Linked DNA regions of Yarrowia lipolytica. The protein of the gene in region 1 purifies or fractionates together with the protein of each later gene. This does not show direct contact. Links are inferred from orthologs where the notes say so. Each region holds a gene or a part of one and is shown in the gene's direction. Other genes may lie near its edges.

Region 1 (6,290 bases):
TGGATACCGACGAGAGACCCGAAGGAGAATTGCCGGCGATAGTAAGGCTGAAACAAGTTGCAGGTAGGGAAGGGTGACTATCGAGCCGAGTCGAGTCGAGTCGGGTCGAGTTCGGGTTTGGTACGGGCCGACTCCTCAGTCGGTATGAGTTCATTAATGGTCATAGGTGAAACTGTAGCTCCAAGAGATGCTGTCACCAAAAAGGATACCTTTTTTGAAGGTATAAACTAGGAGAACTCACCATCAAGTCCATCGGAAATACCTGTTTCCCCTTACCTGGTCATAACCTGTCCGTACACTGGTCCACGATAACCATCAATGTCACATTACCGCTACGACAAACTTCACAGTATAAAGAAGGAGATGAGGAAATCTCATAATAAACACCCGTAATTGATACGGGTTAATCAGCACGAGAGGTGATTCCCCAACCACCAGTCTGTCGATCAACAATCAATTTCTTGCCGTTTGTTCCACCACCAAATTCGCGATATTCGTCATTCTCGACTCCTACAGGGTTCATGCGAGTGTTGTGAAAAATATCCCATGGTTTGAGCTAAACAGCACGGTCAGGAGGGGGTTATGGTGGTCAGATTTGGACCACGGATATTTCGTTGTGGTTTTTGAAGCCGTAGAAATTGATTCCACAAACAAAAACCGTCATTTTCAAGCCGCAACACCCTCTTTCGGTCTCTGACCCACCTGCATGGTTGGTCGATAAAGTTATCGTGCATAGCTGGGAAATTTTTATAAAGAAGCTTTCTTCTTCTCACCACCATTGTTGACCCGACCTCTTACCGCACACCCACAATGTCCCTCCCATACTCCGAGCAGCACTACTTTTCGTCGTACGACCACTTTGGCATCCATGAGGAGATGCTCAAGGACGAGTCGCGAACTCTGTCGTACAAGCACGCAATTCTGCGAAACCGAGACCTGTTCAAGGACAAGATTGTGCTGGATGTGGGCTGTGGAACCGGCATTCTGTCCATGTTTGCTGCGCAGGCCGGTGCCAAGCATGTCATGGGCGTGGACATGTCCAACATCATCGAGATGGCCCGAAAGATTGTCGATCTTAACGGACTCAGCGACAAGATTACCCTGATCCAGGGCAAGATGGAGGAGATCACCCTACCCTACCAGAAGGTGGACATTATCATCTCCGAGTGGATGGGCTACTTCCTGCTCTACGAATCCATGCTGGACACGGTGCTGTACGCCCGAGACAAGTACCTGGTCCCCGGAGGTATTATCATGCCCGACAAGTCCACCATCTACGCCGCTCTTTTGGAGGACGGCGAGTACAAGGACGAAAAGGTGTCCTTCTGGGACGACGTCTACGGCTTTGACTACTCGCCCTTCAAGGACATTGTGCTGTCCGAGCCTCTGGTCGACACCGTGGACCTCCGACACGTCATCTCCAACCCCTGCCAGGTGTTTGAGATCGATCTGTACACCGTCAAGGTGGAGGATCTGGCCTTCAAGGCCAACTTTGACCTCAAGGCCCGGGTCAACGACACTGCCCACGCTATTCTGTGTTGGTTCGACATTGAGTTCAACAAGCTCACCACCCCCGTCAAGTTCTCCACCGGCCCCCATGCCAAGTACACTCACTGGAAGCAGACTGTCTTCTACATTGACGGCCAGGTGTCTCTGCGAGCCGGTGACGAGGTGACTGGATCCATTGACTGCCGACCCAACGAGAAGAACAACCGAGATCTGGACATTACTCTGGAGTGGGAGTGCAAGGCTGAGAACAAGGGCGGCAAGCGATTTTACTGCATGAAATAAGCTGGCACGACGACTACTGTAGATCCCACTGTCGGCTCACCGAGTGGCAAGCCAAGCTGTGGCTTTCACTGGAACGGTCTAACAAAAAATTATGTATAGAATGTTAATTGTATTTTTTATGACGACTAACAAGCGGCGAGTACAAGTGAGAGAGATGTGGGTGCTAGGAGACCATTTCTGCTCTATTTCTGCTTTGCAGTACAAATCCTACACCCATCTAGTACATACCAACTAAATCTTACTTTTCTTCCACTAATCACACTCAACAACGAGACGCTGAAATGAAGATATCTCTGATTATTGTGGTGTAGAGATTCTCAAAAGTCATTATTACTTATCAAGTTGCTGATCGACTATCCACACAGCAACTTTCCTAGTCTCCACCGTTTCTACAACCCCGTAAATGAACCCCCAGCTGAATTTTCATCCCCAGTAATTTCAACTAACTTCCTCAACTAGATTGTTAAGATTAGAAGCAGTTCTGTCATCGTCTTGACTCCAACAACCGTGTCTCAGTTCGATTTCCGGTTGGAAAATTTTGATCCGAAAAATTAACGAGCCAATCAATCACACCGAGAAACGAAAGAAAAAGACGGCGGTCACGTGACCCGAGCCAAGGGGGGGAAGGGGCGGGGGGGGAGCCGGGGGGGGTGGGTCACGTGTTTGGACTGTATGGGCTCCGGCTAGGTCACGTGTTTGGATTGATAATGGTAGCTTCTTGTACTAAACTTGTACAGGTCTCCATGGGTGTAATTAGGATTACGCGCATGTACGGCGTTTTGCGTGTATTTTTCATCCCACCATCAGATTGCCTATCGTGTGATGTCTGGGGGGTTGAAAAAATGGCAAGAAAAGCAGCTGAAAAAAGTGCTGATAAGTAGCATTATATATATACATATATATATCTGTGTGTCATGTTGCCCCAAACTCTGGTTGGGTCGTTTCACGTGCACAATCACGTCCTCACCTCCATACAATAATCTGTACTGGTGGTGCTACTGTCGACATATGCACAACCTCCCAGCGGCGTTTCTCTCCACCATCACGACCTGCGCCCTCTCAACATCGACATGTCGGGCAACAACTCACCAATAAACGCGCAGCTGTTCCCCGATGCTCGCGACGTGACCAAGGACGCGCTTCAGACATTTGTGGAGCTCCCGGAGTGCACGTACATGAAGGGTCTGGGCTCGTCTCAGCAGGCGGAAGTCATGGCGTGTGACTGTAAGCCCGGGCCCACGGCGTGTGACGAGGACAGCGGGTGCATCAACCGACTCACTTCCATCGAGTGTGTTCGGTGCTGCAAGGGCTGTCAGAACAAACGGTTCCAGGGCAAAAAATACGCATCGGTGGACGTGATCAGCACAGAAAAGAAGGGGTTTGGACTGCGGGCCACCAAGGACATCGCCGCCGGCGAATTTGTCTACGAGTACGTGGGCGAGGTGATTGACGAGCCGACCTTCAAGGAGCGAACGGCCATCTACACGACCCAGGGCGTCAAGCATTTCTACTTTATGATGCTGCAAAAGGGCGAGTTCATCGACGCTACCGCCAAGGGAGGACTGGGTCGGTTCTGCAACCATTCGTGCGCGCCTAATGGCCACGTGGAAAAGTGGGTCGTGGGCAAACGGCTCAGAATGGGCATTTTCGCATCTCGACACATTCAAAGGGGAGAAGAGGTCACGTTTGACTACAACGTGGACCGGTACGGAGCCGAGGCCCAGGCGTGCTACTGCGGCGAGAAAAACTGTGTCGGCTTTCTCGGCGGAAAAACGCAGACGGAAAGCGCCAGCAAGGTCTCCGGCACCTTGACCGCTGCTCTGGGTCTCACGTCCAGAGATATCAACGCCATTCTGAGAGGCAAAAAGTCGGCCGAGGACTTGCGACCCCGAGACCTGACCGTGCAGGACGTGTCCAAGGTCATGGCGTCTCTCATGATGAACCAGGAAGCCTGGCAGGTCAACCTCATGCTGCAGCGTATTGCTCTGTGCACAGACACGTCCGTCCAGGCAGCAGTCATGAAGATGCATGGATACCAGATCTTCGCGCAGATTCTGACCGCCACGTGGGGCGACAATCCTCTTGGGCTGGACGACAGCGACCGCGTGAACGTGACGCTGATGCTGCTGCGAGTCCTGCAAAAGTGGCCGCGAATCACAAAGAACAAAATCTCCAGTTCGCAGATTGAAAACGTGGTCAAGAGCCTGACGTCCAACGACAACAGTGACATTGCCACCATTGCCCAGGAGCTCTTGTCTGAATGGGCAAACCTGAAAATGGCTTTCCGAATCCCACGACGAAAAATTGATCCCGACGGAGACGAGCATTCGGTCTCTAGAGGTACCAGCGAGGAGGTCACCAAGGAGAGCTCCAAGTCTGAGGAGCCCAATGATGTGGAAGTTGTCAAGGTGAACAAAAAAGCAGATAACAACGGAAACGGCGTTACTGATTCGCCGTCCACCCGCTCGGAATCCCCCTTCACCTTCATCCCCACCCCCTACTCTAACAAAACAGCCCCCAAGGGCCCCAAGAAGGCCGTCAAGCAGCCTGCATCACCCATGGTGCCTCCAAGGAGCCTGCCTAAGGGCTGGCAGTTTGCGAACGACCCGCAGGGCAAGGTGTACTACTACAATCTCGAGCTGAACATCCAACAGTGGGATTTCCCCAAGGCGTCACGTGCGAGCTCACCCTCGACCCCCAAGGGCCCCAAGGGCCCCAAGGGTCCCCGTGGCAACCGTCGAGACGAGAGACGGGACAATTCCGAGACCCGAGAGCCGCTTTCTTTGCAGTCACAGCGCGAGAGTGATCTCCAGCGCATCATTGAGCAGGCTCGGTTGCAGGAGGTGAAAAATAACAGCGAGCCGGCTCCTTCTGCGTCTGCCAAGCCCGTGAACGCGCAGGCGCATCGGCTGACTAAACTGCTGGCCAAGGTGGTGCCCAATCAAGTGTCCAAATACGACGTTGATCGGGAGCGGGCGAAAAAGTGTTCTAAGGACATTGTGCAGATTCTGGTGGACAAGGAGCTGAAACGTCCGGAGCCCATGACTGAGATTAGTGATGAGAAGGCCAAGAAAATCAAGGAGTTTGTCAAGGGCTACATGGGCAAGGTGGTCAAGCGGTTGGAGGAGAAGGAGGGTGGGGCCAAAGATTTTGGCCGTGGTCGACAAGGTAACCGACGAGACTCTGAGCGGCAATCCGACCGACGTGGTAGACAAGGTCAGTCGGACCGCGATCACTCTGACAATCACGGACGAAAAAGAAAGGGCGAAGAAAACCAGCCGTATGAAGCTGGACCAATGTATGACGACGAAAGTGCCGAAACGTCGACGGAGACGGTCAAGAAGCCCAAGGTTGATATGGAGATTGATTTGGAGTGATTGCTACAGTTGCAATAGGTGTATAAATAGTATGTATATTAGGAATGGTGTTGTATTTTATTGGTTGTGGATGTAATTAGCACGTCCTACCGTGTACTCTAGTAATGTGCAAAGTTTCTATGCGCTCTGAACTACGATAACAGGAATGTTTGACAGAAATGCAGCACTTTTTTGTGATTATCACCTTGGAATTGTTTTTCGGATCACGGGTACATTTATAGATAATGAGCAGTATTGCATAAGACAGGGGTGAGCATCAATGGATTCAGTTTGTCATTCGTCATTCTTCGGTTGAGCTCTGAGGGATGGCATCGTGACCTCTCCCAACTAAATTCAAGTAAATTGCAATATCTATGGGGTACTTGAATCATGATTATCTCGTTTTTTTATATGAAAAGGGGCCGAATATAATACTTTTATTGATCTGTCACTTTTCTGGACAATTTGGTTCTGCTCTCTTTTTCCGGCGGTTTCTGTAACCTCTTATTTGAACCCCCAGCCGACTTTTTCTCTTAACAAAAGTCAACTAATGTGGAACAAGTGGGAATTCACATACAGGTATGTACTGTATATACTGTGGACCCAGACAACACCATTTGAATCTGGAGAGCGTCGGGATTGTGAGAGAGACCATAAGCGTTGTAATTCCACAATCTGCAGCAATAATCAGTGAAAAAAATCCGTAACAAGAATCCATTCTACCATCTTGAACACTTCCGAGCACCCTACAACTGGATACAGCTGGGTACAGCTCCGTACAGCTCCGTACATCTGTTGCTCTCGACGATTTGACGAGTGGTTTTTGACATCTGTAGTCATGTGGGGTTTGATGACTAAGCGGCTTGTGAACATGCTATACACACCCCACTTTGGACATACTGTACAAGTAGCTTTAGCTGTAGCCAGTACTTGAACCTGTAGCCACCCAGAAGTCACAGTTGAGAAGCCGTTCATCAACTGACGACAATAAAGTGCCGCTAGCACAAATGGGCCCATGTTTCGAAGTCTACGGGGAAAGTGGAAATTTCTAGCGACTTGAGGGGAATACTATCACCACCGTCATCTCCTTTTGGTAGGTGTAGTACGCCACACATGCATGCACCGACTGCACCATTACGGTAG
Region 2 (3,851 bases), on another chromosome or scaffold:
AGTAAATAGTGTCCGAGAAGTAACATCAACAACCTTCCTCAATAACAACATGGTGAAAGGAGCAATGCAACCACATTGCTGAAATATCATAATGAGTAGAATAATAGGCTGGATCAAATGGAATTGTATCAGTTTACCCTATAGAACCCTCTAGAGCAGAGGAGCATGTTGAGCTGTTCTAATCTCTGGACTATCGATAATGCAGATGGATGATTGCATGCAGGAGTATGTAATGTATGTACTGTAGCCACTGCATTGAAAGCTCATTACAAAGTACAGTACTGTAGGTGATTTTTTTTGGGGATATTACAGTAAACCTCTTTTACACCCATCCTTACCTCATTACCGGACCCTGCCCGACACTGTCCTTGGTTCTTGATAACTTTGGACACTGGAGTCACGAAGCTCTTCACAGAGCTGAAGAAAGAGGAGGTTGAGGATCTACATATGGAATAATGCTGCTGGGGGGAACATTGCGGTAAAAACTTAACCCGGTGTGATTTTTACCCTGACTTAACTGTCTTTTGCTCCACTCATGTATATGACTCTCCTTTTACCCTCGAATGAAGATGCAGAGTCTGCTGAAGCTCCTACTCCATCTTCAGGCTCACCCTTTAATGGACCCTTTCACTAATCCCACCTCGCCCCGGACCATTAACATACAATCAAATACATTATATACATAGATACATACAAGCAAGCAAGCAAACAAACAAAACGTTCCTAACCCTCCTTTCAATCACCCCGGAACATGGGCAAGGAAACAGAGGAAGAGTAATAAGTAGACGGGTTAACATCCATGTGAGGATGGGAGGTAGAGTGGTTGAGTGAAGGAGCCGATCCAGACATCATCTGCTGGATGATGGACGCCTCCTGACGCAGGTTTTCCACTCCCTTGGCCATCTTATTGATGTTGGACGAAAACTCATTCTCCATAGCCTGACGCTTGGCTTGTCGTTTTCCTCGCTCAGCCATGAGTCGCTGCAGACAGTTGTCGAGCTCCCCGCGGTACGTGAAGCCCAGCAAGATACTAGTGATTCTTCCGCTCCCTTTTTGTCGGCAGCAGCACACTTCAAATCCATCTCATTCTGCGCAGCTGAATGATGTAAATTTCTCAGAAACGGCACAGCTGAAGTACATACAGCTACCCTACTGTACGTTCGAGATGAGATGGAGAGACAGGGGGCTCGCTCTTATCGCAGCTTTTGATTGCCCTGCGGTAGCGACAGCTGAAGGAAATGTCTTGTTTGAGACCCACTGCGTAGGGGCTATTGCGTCTGAGGTCCTCGTATGAACATCCCGAGCGTCTTCAGGACGAAACATTGCACTAGCCTTTCCCCTTTAAAACAAGGAGTCTTGCGAAATCTCAGATATCCAATATTCACCTTCGCAGACATCCCATATTTACCTTCGCAGACATCCCATGTTCACCTTCTTAGCCGTTGTGCTATGAAGGTGGCCATGGGGTGACGATGAAAGTCGCATGTTGTACACAAACTCGAATAGTTTCGTCTAGTGTATCGTATCAACTTTTCTACCTCTTCGATTAACACCAATATGATCCTTGTAGCACTCAATGGTCTATCTGAAATGATATGATATCAGATCAGATGCTGTACCAGAAAGTATACTGATCAGAAGCACACTATTAACGGTCTCTCCTTTTTATTTCACACAATTCTAAACTTTATTTTATAACACTCGAACTCGCTGAATTCAGCCGCATTCACTGAAAATAGCTCGCGAAAACGAATATTTTCCAGCTCGTAACCTATATGAAATCCTCCACTCATCACAAAATGCTCTCAAACTCGTTTGATGCTCTTTCTTAAGTTCTCATTAACGTCTCAAAATCTTAACCTTCCATTCAATATACACCTCCAAATCAACAATCGTGAACGAGATATCTTTGATTACATAATCCAACGAGTAATTACGTGACCAAAAGCATGGATATCGCAAATAAATCTCACTGCGCGAAATAACTTCAATCTTGTCCTTTGCTCCACCTCTCGCACAGCTTACGCCTACCGCTCACAGTCTATGCTTAGTAACAAACCTTGTCAAAATATTTTAATTTTGTATGCAGGAATTTTCGCCTCCATCTTCAACTTTGCAACACAACATGAACAAGGAATCGTTTTCTCCTTCGCTTGATTCGCAGAACCTGTCTGCCTCCGCCTCCGGAGTGGCCAACAACAAGTCGTACGCCGTCAAGTACCTGTGTGCCAACTGTTCGTCCAAGGTGGTTCTCATCCGAGGCGATCCAGTTCGATGCAAGGAATGCGGTCATCGAGTTTTGTACAAGGAGCGGGCCAACTACACTGGTGAGTAAAGCGGGTGTGCTATAGATGCCGTGGCGACGTCGCGGTGGGTGCTACCTCCAGCGTTTGATGGTGTGATGGTGGCAAGCTGGGTCACAGTGTGTCATGAGAGAGAGAGTGAAGAGGGGATACACTGCGCGTGACACGGAGAGTGTGATGAAGGAGAAGCGTCACAGGTGGCAGTGAAGAATCGACAGGAAGAGATTGGACTCAACGATTCGTTTATGGGGTGATGGGCTTATTTGGAGATATGAAACATTACGAATCGACACAGGACAGAATATGGGCCACGGACGAATCCGTGGTTGAGGGCTGAAGGGCAGCATCATGAAAAGTGATGGAAACGTAGCTACTGGATCTGGATGTTGGTTTGATGCAGCAGATTCAACAGTTCCGTTCAGACAACAAATTCCAGTGAAGCGATACGTGGATAAGGTCGAAAAGTTGTAGGTCATCCGTGGCGACAGCAAGAGTGACCTATAATGTTTCTTCTGGACCATGGATAGTGCTCCAAACCCAGTGTGCAGTGTTTGGTATCATAAGACTTCTGCCTGAGCGACGATAGCTCTACCTGATAGCTCTGCCTGAAGTCGGGATTGTCCGCCTGTTCTGGTTGTGTCTGTGTCTGAATCCATCCGAGCCTGAATGTGTCTGATTCTGCCTCTCTGTTGTATATATCCGTCACTAACTGGGTATCTGTGATTCTGCCCGTGTTTCACTCTGCTTCCTGTTTGCTTCAATCTGATCGTCTGTTCGATTCAGCTCGATGTCTCAGCTCCGAGTTCCCAAACGCCTTATTGGTGCCCTCTGCCTTATCTGGATACCCTGTCCCACTGCTTACCGCCTCTTGCCTCTCACATCACTATGGTGCCTTGATCGCAAGCTCCACCAATTCAATCCAGCCCAATCAACCAATACTAACGCAGTCCAATTCTCCGCCAGATAGTTTAGTTATTTATATATTGTATACTAGAGCAGAAATACAGCAGCATTGGTTTGGAACACTGAGAATCGTTGAGGGAGTTACTAAGCAGATTGTTCAGCACAAGTGTAAACTCATTTCGAGAGAGCTGGTACGAAATGGAGACAGTGCTAGAGTCATTGAATCAGAAGAAATTACCGTTAAATGAGGGGTTGACTCTTCCATGACACCTGCTTCCAGACAGACGCAATCTATTGACGATGAAATGCCTCGACACAGCTTATGAACCACTAGTATACAAGTACTTGAACTGGTTGAATTGGAAGCTGCGGGGAGACAGACGGATGTTTAGTACGCGTAATTTGTAGATCTATGGAGTTATCTTATGTACATAGACATCATTACGCTGAGGAGAGGCCGCCTTACTCTGCAGTTGGTGTAATAGACCCCTACTTAGTTTATTGACACTTTTTGTTGGTATAATTGTAGCTTGAAGTTCAAACCGGGAGAACTGTGCGGATAAAAGCCTCATGAACATAAACAGATTTGAAATTGACCATTGTTATCTTCTAGAATGCCCTCAAATCATCAAATTAACCTTAGTA
Region 3 (4,492 bases), on another chromosome or scaffold:
GTAAGAGACGCCCTGGGACTCGAGATCGGCAGCGACAGACTCCCAGTACTTCTTGCCCTCCTCGTCGGGGCTGGTTCCATCCTTGAGGAGCTTCTCGGACATGACAGTGCCAGGTCGAGGGTTCAGGAACGAGTAGGTAGGCATCAGGTACTCGTAGACTCGAGAAGAACACAACTTTCGGCACTCAAAAGCCTTGTTGGTTCGAGAAACGCCCCAGACACGCAGCTGCTCGGGCAGATGGCTGTTGATCTTCTCCACAATGTTCTCGTCCTCAATGATCATCTTCAGAGAGATGACGTTACCGGCGGCATGCACACCCTTATCGGTTCGAGCAGCTCGCATGAAAGCCGACTTTTTGGGGTCGTCGGCGTTGTTCTGAGAGATGGCCCCGGCCTTGACAAAGGCCTGAAAGATATCACCCTCAATGGTCTTTTGGGGAGGATTCAGTTGCATGCCATGGTAACCAGTTCCACAATATCCAATCATACAGGCAACCTTTCGCTTGGGCTGTCGCACCTCGTCGGCCACCAGAGGACCGTCCGTCTTTCGACGTGTATCTCGGCCCTCGCCCTGCTTCTCCTGCTCTCGTTGTCGGTCGCCTCGTCGGTCCATCTTCTGCTTCTTGGCCTGGTGATCGCCTCGAGGTCGGTTCCAGTTGCCTCCCTTGCCTCGCTTCTGGCCGAGATCGTGCTGCTCAGCCGAGTCGCCGGACGCACTGTTGCCGACGACGGGGGTGGTGGTAGGTTCGCTCATGGTGACGGGGAAAAATCGGCCTTTCAACGGAATCAGACGTTTGATCACTTGCAAAAAATTACCTTTCATGCAGTAGAATATTTTTCGCTGAGAAATGCGAACTACAAGTACAACAAGCTGTTCTGGATAACCATAAATCCGACAGCAAAGCCAGCATTACAGAAGCAAGAGCTTCGGGGCGAGCCCGTTTCTGGCTCCTCTGGATTTATTTGTAGTTTTTAATTCGATTTAATTCGGTTTTAAATCATATTTATGAAAAAAAAAATACAGGGCTGTACTCGTCATACTCGTACCTGTAGTAGCAGAATAACAGTTCCAAGATAACAGACACACTCCCGGTTCTCTCTTTGATGGCATTAAATGTATGTATATATAGAATTCATTACTTATTTCATGGATGAATTTCGAATATTTCTAAAACACCCCGAAAATCGACAGAAAAATATAAAAAATTTCCTTTTTTTCTCCCTTTTTTTTTTGAAAACTCTAATAAAAAAATTTAAACAAACTTCATCGTCATTGGACATGCAGGTAAATTTCAACTTGACAACAGTGGTATTGTAGCTACAAGTAGATAAATATGCCCTGGATAGCCTTTGGGCGTCAGTCCAATGATGGTTGGTCTGACGGATCTTCAACCAGTCATTTAAAACATGTTACATTACAATTTTGGTGCTCGTAAGCCAAGGTGTTGAGACAGGGTCAGACACAGGCTGAGATACTCCGTAGCCATGATCATAAGGCCGACTCCCTAGGGTTCAGTTTCGGTAGATATCAGTCATCAATTGAGATACCAGCCAACAATTGAGATACCAGCCAACAATTGAGATACCAGCCAACAGGAGATATCCGAGTTCAGGCCAGTCGCATAGCCAGTACAACGACCACAGGCAGCGGCATTCCAACAGGATCCAGCTTGAATCCGCTTATTTCTCCCACAAGGTGTAAACGAAAGAAAAGCCCTTCTCTTCCACAGGAGTATCTCGTCCAGGAAGCTCCACCTTGTCTCCCACAAAGTCTTGGAGACGTTCATAAGGCTGCTTCTTCCACAGACCCTGGTCAAAGCCCTCGAAGAAGGTGTCACATTCCACGTGGCCGTCGGGACAGGTAATTTCTGTCAAAAGCACGGCCTTTGTATGTTCGTGGACCAGCGCGGTCTTGTAAACCTGAGATCCGCCGATGACGTAAACGGTAGAATCCTCGGGGCACTTTGTAAGCGCTTCGTCGAACGACCGGGCGACTACAACCTCCTCGGGAGCGTCAGTCATGGGTCTAGAAGTGAGAACAATGTTGGTTCGATCAGGAAGAGGTCTGAACTTGGGGGGAATGGAGTCCCAGGTGGTTCGTCCCATGATGACGACGGCGTTCTTCTGGGCTGTAGTCACCTGTTTGAAGAACTTCATTTCTTTGGCTAGTCTCCATGGAAGTCCTCCATTGAGTCCGATGCCATATCGGGGCACTGTGGCTGCCAGAATGAGCGTAGTTGAAGGAGGCATTTTTGTCAGTGTTTGGTGCTGTTTCTTGTGCCCTGCCAGTGTACCAGTTGATCTGACGCGTATAATTTAGACTTAACGCGTGACCCAAATGGCGTAAATTAGCCTACCCAGCGGGGATTCGAACCGAGTGGATTTTAATCTTCAGTCCAATATGCACTGGTGGAAACACCACTGTCTGTGATCATCAACCCACAAAACCACACAAGACACACACACACACAACAATGAACGTGTCTACAAGTACTGTTCAGCAGCAGCGACGAAAGCCCACGACCGTCAACGCGGTGCAGGACGAGGATGCAGCCCAGCTGAAACTCGGACCCGAGTTCGACGTGACCCAATACACCCACGACGGGTTTGAGACCGCCCTCACAGCTCTGTCGACCTCAGAGGCCCGATCTCTCATTAACCATACGCTCAAGAAGCGAAAGAATGACGCATTGGGTATTGAGAACACGGAAGACGATACCCTGGACGACGAGGAGGAGATCAACGCCAATGACGTGCTGCGAAAGACCCGGGAGTACATGAACATCTTCTCGCGGTTCCGAGAACAGCAAAAGGTGGCTGCGGTGGCCCAGATTCTGCGTCACCAAGACAACGCCGATCTGCATCCGTTTGAAATCGCCCAGCTCGGAACTCTGTCGTGTGATGGAGCCGAGGAGGCCAAAACTCTGATTCCCTCTCTGGCTGCCAAGCGAACCGACGCCCAGCTCCAGGAGCTGCTGGATCTGGTCAGAGAACATGACCGAGAAAACTAAACGGTGCTGTATTATAAATGGTGCTACAAGGTGGGTAATATATATTGTATAACAGCGGGTATGTGGACCACAGGCTAATGTGGTACGAGTAGCTGATGTACTCAAAGAGATATGACACAACATGACTACGGAATTACCGAGTTCACACTGCCGTTTAAACGGTACTGTACTTACTGTCGATACATACACTTGTACCCACGAGAACACATGCCCAAACACACACAGTCCCTCCATTCATGAACATATCAGGTATTTTTCATTGTCGTCAGGATGCTCTCGGTTGGCTCCATCGCGGTATATATATTCTGAATCTTAGTAAGCAAAAAAAATGGCCAAAAAAGGCAAAAAAAGATCAGCCCGACGTGGGGCTTGAACCCACAGCCTTGAGATGACCTTAGAGTAAGAGTCTCACGCTCTACCGATTGAGCTAGCCAGGCGATTTTTCTTTTAAAAAAGTCGTGTTTATCCATATCCAGGATTTACTTAGTCAGCAAAAATTATAATAATAAAAATAAACGATTTACAAGTGTATGATTTATTGAATGCCAATAACCTGGCCTACTAGGTATATAGCCGTAATGAATCATTAGAATAAAATATATAAAAAAACCTCAAGAAACAGTAGCTGAAATGTATTTCCCTAGAATAAAACGAGAAAAAAAAGGGGGAATAAAACACCAAAAAATCGAAAAAATTGCTACCTGTCGCAGGTCTGGGTCAAAAGATCATAAATTCAAATTGAATGTCCTTGGAGATATGTTTTGGTTCATTTCAACTCGATTCTGAAATATTCTGAATATTTTTGAGACTAAGCTGTCAAGTATGGAATAAAGATAAAAGGTATAATCACCATAAAAGCAAATAAAATCAATGAGAGCACATAAGTGATGTTTTGTTCCGGATAAATCCTATGCAAGTCTTCTTAATTTGTCTGATCACTTCTTTTGGGCTTTATTCAAGATCTTCCCTACAAGTACTTGTACTAATACACGTACAACTTCATCATTAAATCTAGTGTTATTAAATAGGTTAGAATTACTTAGTTTCGCTTGGCTCGGCCAATATGGGTGTTGTTGACCTTGGTGGCGAAGCGCAGAGAATTGATGGTCTCGGAAGCATGAGCCTGCATGGGAGAAACGTTGACCAACATGAGGGTTTTGGAGTTGCCGCCAAGCGAGTACTGCAAGAGATACGTGAGCTTGGAGTTTCTGTAGGGGATATGAGAGCCCTCCTTGGCAGTTCCTAGAGCATGTATCACGTCACCGAGACACGCCAGAGACTTGTTGATGTTCTGTGTTTCTCGTAGTCGGTCCCCAGTAGCGCCACTGTGGTTGAGACGCTCACTGCCTGCCAGGTCGATGAGATTGAGACGTCCGTCGCAGGACTCCCCAGTCACGTGGTTCTGGCCCTTGAGACTCACGATAAAGACGGAATGCGATCGCGAGGACCGCTCGTTGGCCTTGGTCGCAGCCACCATTCGGT
Region 4 (4,572 bases), on another chromosome or scaffold:
CGTATTAGTTAGTTGACTTATCAGTTGGGTGCTTTAACAAACGACTGGAAACGTATTCGTACAAACTTGGAAGATGGCGGTTGAAAGTTGGCTGAAGAAACACCCTAAGTGCCATCCCAAAAGTTCCGCTGTTGACCCGCTGTATGTCTCACATTCCCTGATTGATGAGACACTGGTGCAATCTCCTACCTCAAAGACACAGCCTTGATAGGGAAGGGAACAGTGTACGCCAGAGGAGCACTGTGTAACAGCACTGTCAGAAGTAAACATGATCAACAGCGATACATGGATGATCAGGGAAAGATCGGAGGTTGAACTATTGCATTAAATACTGCTCATCATCAGACCTTGAACCGATATCTTACAATGAGGAAGATCGAGACAGAAAAGTTGAAGATGGCATGTAGGAAGGGGGTAGCATGGCATGATAGGTGCTCATTCCAAAGAAGCAAACACTTGTATCATGCTCCATCTGTAACACATTCTCACGCATGTACGACTCCCAATGTCTTCCTATTTTCTTCACTTACTACACTGTTATGCACATACTGTACCTCTCTTCATACAGTAGGATGTTCATCACAATGGTGTTCGGTTGAACTCAATCGTCTTCGGATAGCACCGCTTGAATGAGGTTGAGATGATCATACGGGGTTGAATTTTTATTCGAAAGAGTCCCTGTGACGAATTGATCAATTGATTTGCGTCATTTGTTTCTCAATCGCTCTTTCATTTACCACAATACACCTCTCTCTGCACAGCCCCTCGTTTCAGAACGGGTACCTGACATATGCAGGACCATCCATCTCTTGATACTCCTCTGCAATATGATGCAATGTGCTGGTTATACAGTATCTTCTGTGACAATTGCTGTATACGGTAGTCTATCTGAGTGGTGAGATATATATAAATAGTGGACACTGCTCTCAGTCCATCGCACTCCCCTCACAACTACTTTCACCATCACCATGTTCTTCAAGTACTACGCCACCCTAGCCACAGCTGCCACTGGTGTCTTTGCAGCTCCTGTTCAGGACTACAGCAACAGTCCTTCTGCTACGCGATTCACCCTTCGTCTTCACCCTGGCGCCGGGGCCATGGGAATGAAGCCTCTCCAGCTCAGAGACAACAAGGTGGTCTTTGGTCTTGAGAAGGGCAACTCCTCCGTCTCCCCACTTGAGGTGGACGTTAAGGACAAGCAGCTGGCTGTTGTGTCCAACGGACCCTCTGGTGGCGAGATTACTGTTGCTGCAAACGGCCAGCTGGTTGTCTCGCAGCCCTCCAGTACCTCCTCCAACTCCACCGCTGGCTGGCTCATCCAGGGAGGAGGCTCGTTTGTCAGCGAGGTCTACTACAAGGGCTCTCAGGAGTTTTACTCGTGCACCTCCGAAGACGGAGCTGTAGTCGGAGGCCAGGAGGTGTACCTTCTGGGCAGCGCTAACTACACCTGCGAGGAGCCATTCAAGTTCACTCTGGGAGCCACTGGCGTCCAACAACAGAAGTAAGACGCCCACACTTATTTATAGAAATGAATTTTACAACTCATCACAACACCACTCGCACTGTAGAGTAGACACACCACACAGCTTCATCTCAACCAATACTGACCAACAGTTCAAGTAACGTGCATCTACAACCACTAATTAGTTAAAGAACAGACACAAATCTGACTCCAACAATTATACAAGATCTGTTCAACCCGTCGGATATCGTCATTCTCCAATTACAAGCACCTCACTTCCCACACAGTCGTCGCTACGTACAATACTCCTTCACATTTACCCATCATCCTTAACATAAAACACCCCGAGTGGCACGTGACCCAGCAACTTTATTGCAGTGGAGGTGGGAGATACTATGATTAATAAGCAGCAGTCCACAACAGTCAGCTGAAGCAGTATTAGCGGTATCAGACACGGTACGGCGACTCTGACCAAACCCGCTCAATACAACATTGCACAATACTGCATCCTTGAGAATGAACCAGGTTCCGAAGACATTTATTCTCAACACATCTATTTACACCGCCTCTACGACATGTCTCGAGCTTCTCCCAAAACACCTTTTTTTAGCTTCACAGTTTCGTCAAGAGAGATACTCGGTCAAGACCTCCAGAAACCATCGGCATGTTTTTTGTTGTGAGTATGGGAAGGCGAAGCAGGCGCAAAGACATGAATGGATGATGTCAGACGGGTGGAATCACGTGTTCAGACACCAGATCGGCCCGTGATTCGATGGGCTGTGGTATGGTGATGTTCGACGACGAGAGAACGGTGGATGGTGTCATGTCCGTGGTGTTGAGAGGTGAGGGATGGAGGAGTGAGCATGTGACGAAGTCTCCTATCTCAGCTGAGTGTCTACTCGGTTCTTCAGCTGTACACATGACATAACACTTTCAGCACGGAACCACACGAGCACGAGCACCACAAGCGTGTTGTTTTATCCTACAAATTTGAAGCCTCTACCAGGCGATGGACGGGCGATGGAGACTCCAACGGAGCTTGGCACAACGAGGTTGCCAAATTTCCACAGAACTAACGCAGAAAGACTTGACGCTCTCTCTGACTCTGCATCCGTCATACTTTGGCCCCCAGATGGGCCAATACCTGCGGTCCAAGCTGCTGGCGGACGTGGAGGGCACTTGCACCGGAGAATTCGGCTACATTCTGTGCGTGCTGGACCAGCCGTTCGACATTGGCAAAGGCAGAGTGGTGCCTTCCAACGGCTCGGCCGAGTTCACAGTCAACTACCGAGCCATTGTGTGGAGACCGTTCAAAAACGAGGTGGTGGATGCGATAGTGACCAACGTGAACAAGATGGGCTTCTTTGGCGACGTGGGCCCCTTGTCCGTGTTTGTCTCGTCCCATCTGATTCCTCCTGACATGAAGTTCAACCCTAGCGCAAACCCACCAGCATACGTCAGTGAAGATCAGGTCATTGAAAAGGGAAGTCGGGTGCGACTGAAGATTGTCGGAGTGCGAGCCGACGTGGGAGAAATGTTTGCCATTGGTACTATCAAGGAGGATTATCTGGGTTTGGTCTAGTGTACTATAATACATATTTATATGAACTGGAGGTAGAAGTGCAATCACTAGAAGGAGATATGGAGACAATTACGATCGCTACAAACACGGCGATAGACTGACCAGTAAGTGGAGAAGCGAAGCAGAAACTCCTTGACTGATTTTAGCACCATCTTTTACTATTATCTGATCTCGCCGTATAGAATTGTGTATCGTGTTGGTTAATAACCACGACGCCTGCATTATCAACCTAAACATAATGCAGATGAAGAGTGTGTCATCATGACATCTCCGTCATACAACTCCGTCAACATGCCACCAACTTCTCTCGTCACCGGCTCCACTGGATTTTTGGCCAGCCACGTGGTCGACCAGCTGCTCAGCGCAGGTCATAGAGTCATCGGTACGGTTCGATCCCCCCACAAAGCCGCACGTCTGGCTGAGGCCTTCAAGCAGCAGATTGCTTCAGGCCAATTGGAGCTGGAAACGCTTTCCGACGTGAGAAACGCCGGTGAATTCAAGGCCATTTTCGAAAAACATCCCGAGATCAAGTACATTTTGCACACGGCTTCCCCCTTCAACTACAACACGACTGACCCCGAGAAGGAGATGCTCCAACCAGCGGTCGAAGGAACTACAACCGTACTCAAGGCAGCCAAGGACCATGCCCCCAACGTCGAGAAGGTGGTTATCACTTCTTCGCTCGCTGCCATTCTCAACATTGCCACGTTCAACGATCCCTCCACTACCCTGACCGAGAAGGACTGGAACCCCATCACCTGGGAACAGGCGGCCGAGAAGGGCAACCCCTATGCCAACTATATTGGATCAAAGGCCATGGCTGAAAAGGCGTCTGTGGAGTTTGAGAAGATGGAGAAACCCAAGTTCAAGCTCACCTGGGTCAACCCCGTGCTCATTCTCGGTCCAGGTATCATTCTCGATCCACTGGCCATTAACACCTCCAATGAAGCCATTGTAACCAACGCTTTTGAAACCAAGCCCGGGCAAAAGCCTCCCGTCAAAGCTGGTTACTTTGTTGACGTGCGCGACTGCGCCAAAGCCCATGTTTCTGCTCTCAACCCCGAGTTTGACGGACGAAGACTCTTCCTATCCACCTCAAAGTACTGCACCCAGGACTTTCTGAACATTGCCAACCAGCTACCCGAATTCAAGGGAAAGATCGCCGAGTTTGACCCTATCGAGCGGGAGAAGGAGTTGCATTCGTTAGCCCAGATCGACAACTCGGCCACGTTGAAACTGCTCAACTACGACCTCATCTCCCTGGAGCATTCCGTCACAGATTTTGCCAAAGAGTGGCTTTCTTACGAGCGGAACGACTAGCCATGACCCTCACTGAAGAACAAGTGGCTTCACATTATAGAAATTCATTCGATAGAGATACAATACCATCATTTAGATAAATGCAATATAAATTAGTTTTACTCAAGAAAAGTCCCTAATGGCAACAATGTCAGGCCGAACAGCCACCAGCTTGTCAAAAACGTCCATCATGACACTCTCGGCACTCTCCCGCTTGCCCTTTTCTTCT

Evidence for each region.
Region 2: the proteins of YALI1_E21962g (region 1) and YALI1_C28063g purify together in Saccharomyces cerevisiae (affinity purification with mass spectrometry; 3 studies listed by BioGRID). This does not show direct contact. The link is inferred for Yarrowia lipolytica from reciprocal best matches to the Saccharomyces cerevisiae genes SET2 and RPC10.
Region 3: the proteins of YALI1_E21962g (region 1) and YALI1_C17949g purify together in Saccharomyces cerevisiae (affinity purification with mass spectrometry; 3 studies listed by BioGRID, with this or other methods). This does not show direct contact. The link is inferred for Yarrowia lipolytica from reciprocal best matches to the Saccharomyces cerevisiae genes SET2 and RPB4.
Region 4: the proteins of YALI1_E21962g (region 1) and YALI1_D14462g purify together in Saccharomyces cerevisiae (affinity purification with mass spectrometry; 3 studies listed by BioGRID, with this or other methods). This does not show direct contact. The link is inferred for Yarrowia lipolytica from reciprocal best matches to the Saccharomyces cerevisiae genes SET2 and RPB7.

The regions. Positions count from the first base shown.
Region 1 is NC_090774.1:2,192,838-2,199,127, reverse strand, and holds YALI1_E21962g (uncharacterized protein), read left to right. Parts: upstream 1-2,861; coding exon 2,862-5,168; downstream 5,169-6,290. Other genes in the region: YALI1_E21983g (uncharacterized protein), read left to right, coding at 811-1,791. UniProt on the Saccharomyces cerevisiae protein: Histone methyltransferase that trimethylates histone H3 'Lys-36' forming H3K36me3. Involved in transcription elongation as well as in transcription repression.
Region 2 is NC_090772.1:2,804,229-2,808,079, forward strand, and holds YALI1_C28063g (uncharacterized protein), read left to right. Parts: upstream 1-2,083; coding exon 2,084-2,335; downstream 2,336-3,851. UniProt on the Saccharomyces cerevisiae protein: DNA-dependent RNA polymerases catalyze the transcription of DNA into RNA using the four ribonucleoside triphosphates as substrates.
Region 3 is NC_090772.1:1,792,462-1,796,953, forward strand, and holds YALI1_C17949g (uncharacterized protein), read left to right. Parts: upstream 1-2,473; coding exon 2,474-3,010; downstream 3,011-4,492. Other genes in the region: YALI1_C17932g (uncharacterized protein), read right to left, coding at 1-822; YALI1_C17947g (uncharacterized protein), read right to left, coding at 1,680-2,249; YALI1_C17988g (uncharacterized protein), read right to left, coding at 4,050-4,492. UniProt on the Saccharomyces cerevisiae protein: DNA-dependent RNA polymerase catalyzes the transcription of DNA into RNA using the four ribonucleoside triphosphates as substrates. Component of RNA polymerase II which synthesizes mRNA precursors and many functional non-coding RNAs.
Region 4 is NC_090773.1:1,444,133-1,448,704, reverse strand, and holds YALI1_D14462g (uncharacterized protein), read left to right. Parts: upstream 1-2,471; coding exon 2,472-3,044; downstream 3,045-4,572. Other genes in the region: YALI1_D14477g (uncharacterized protein), read left to right, coding at 969-1,505; YALI1_D14453g (uncharacterized protein), read left to right, coding at 3,306-4,364; YALI1_D14431g (uncharacterized protein), read right to left, coding at 4,467-4,572. UniProt on the Saccharomyces cerevisiae protein: DNA-dependent RNA polymerase catalyzes the transcription of DNA into RNA using the four ribonucleoside triphosphates as substrates. Component of RNA polymerase II which synthesizes mRNA precursors and many functional non-coding RNAs.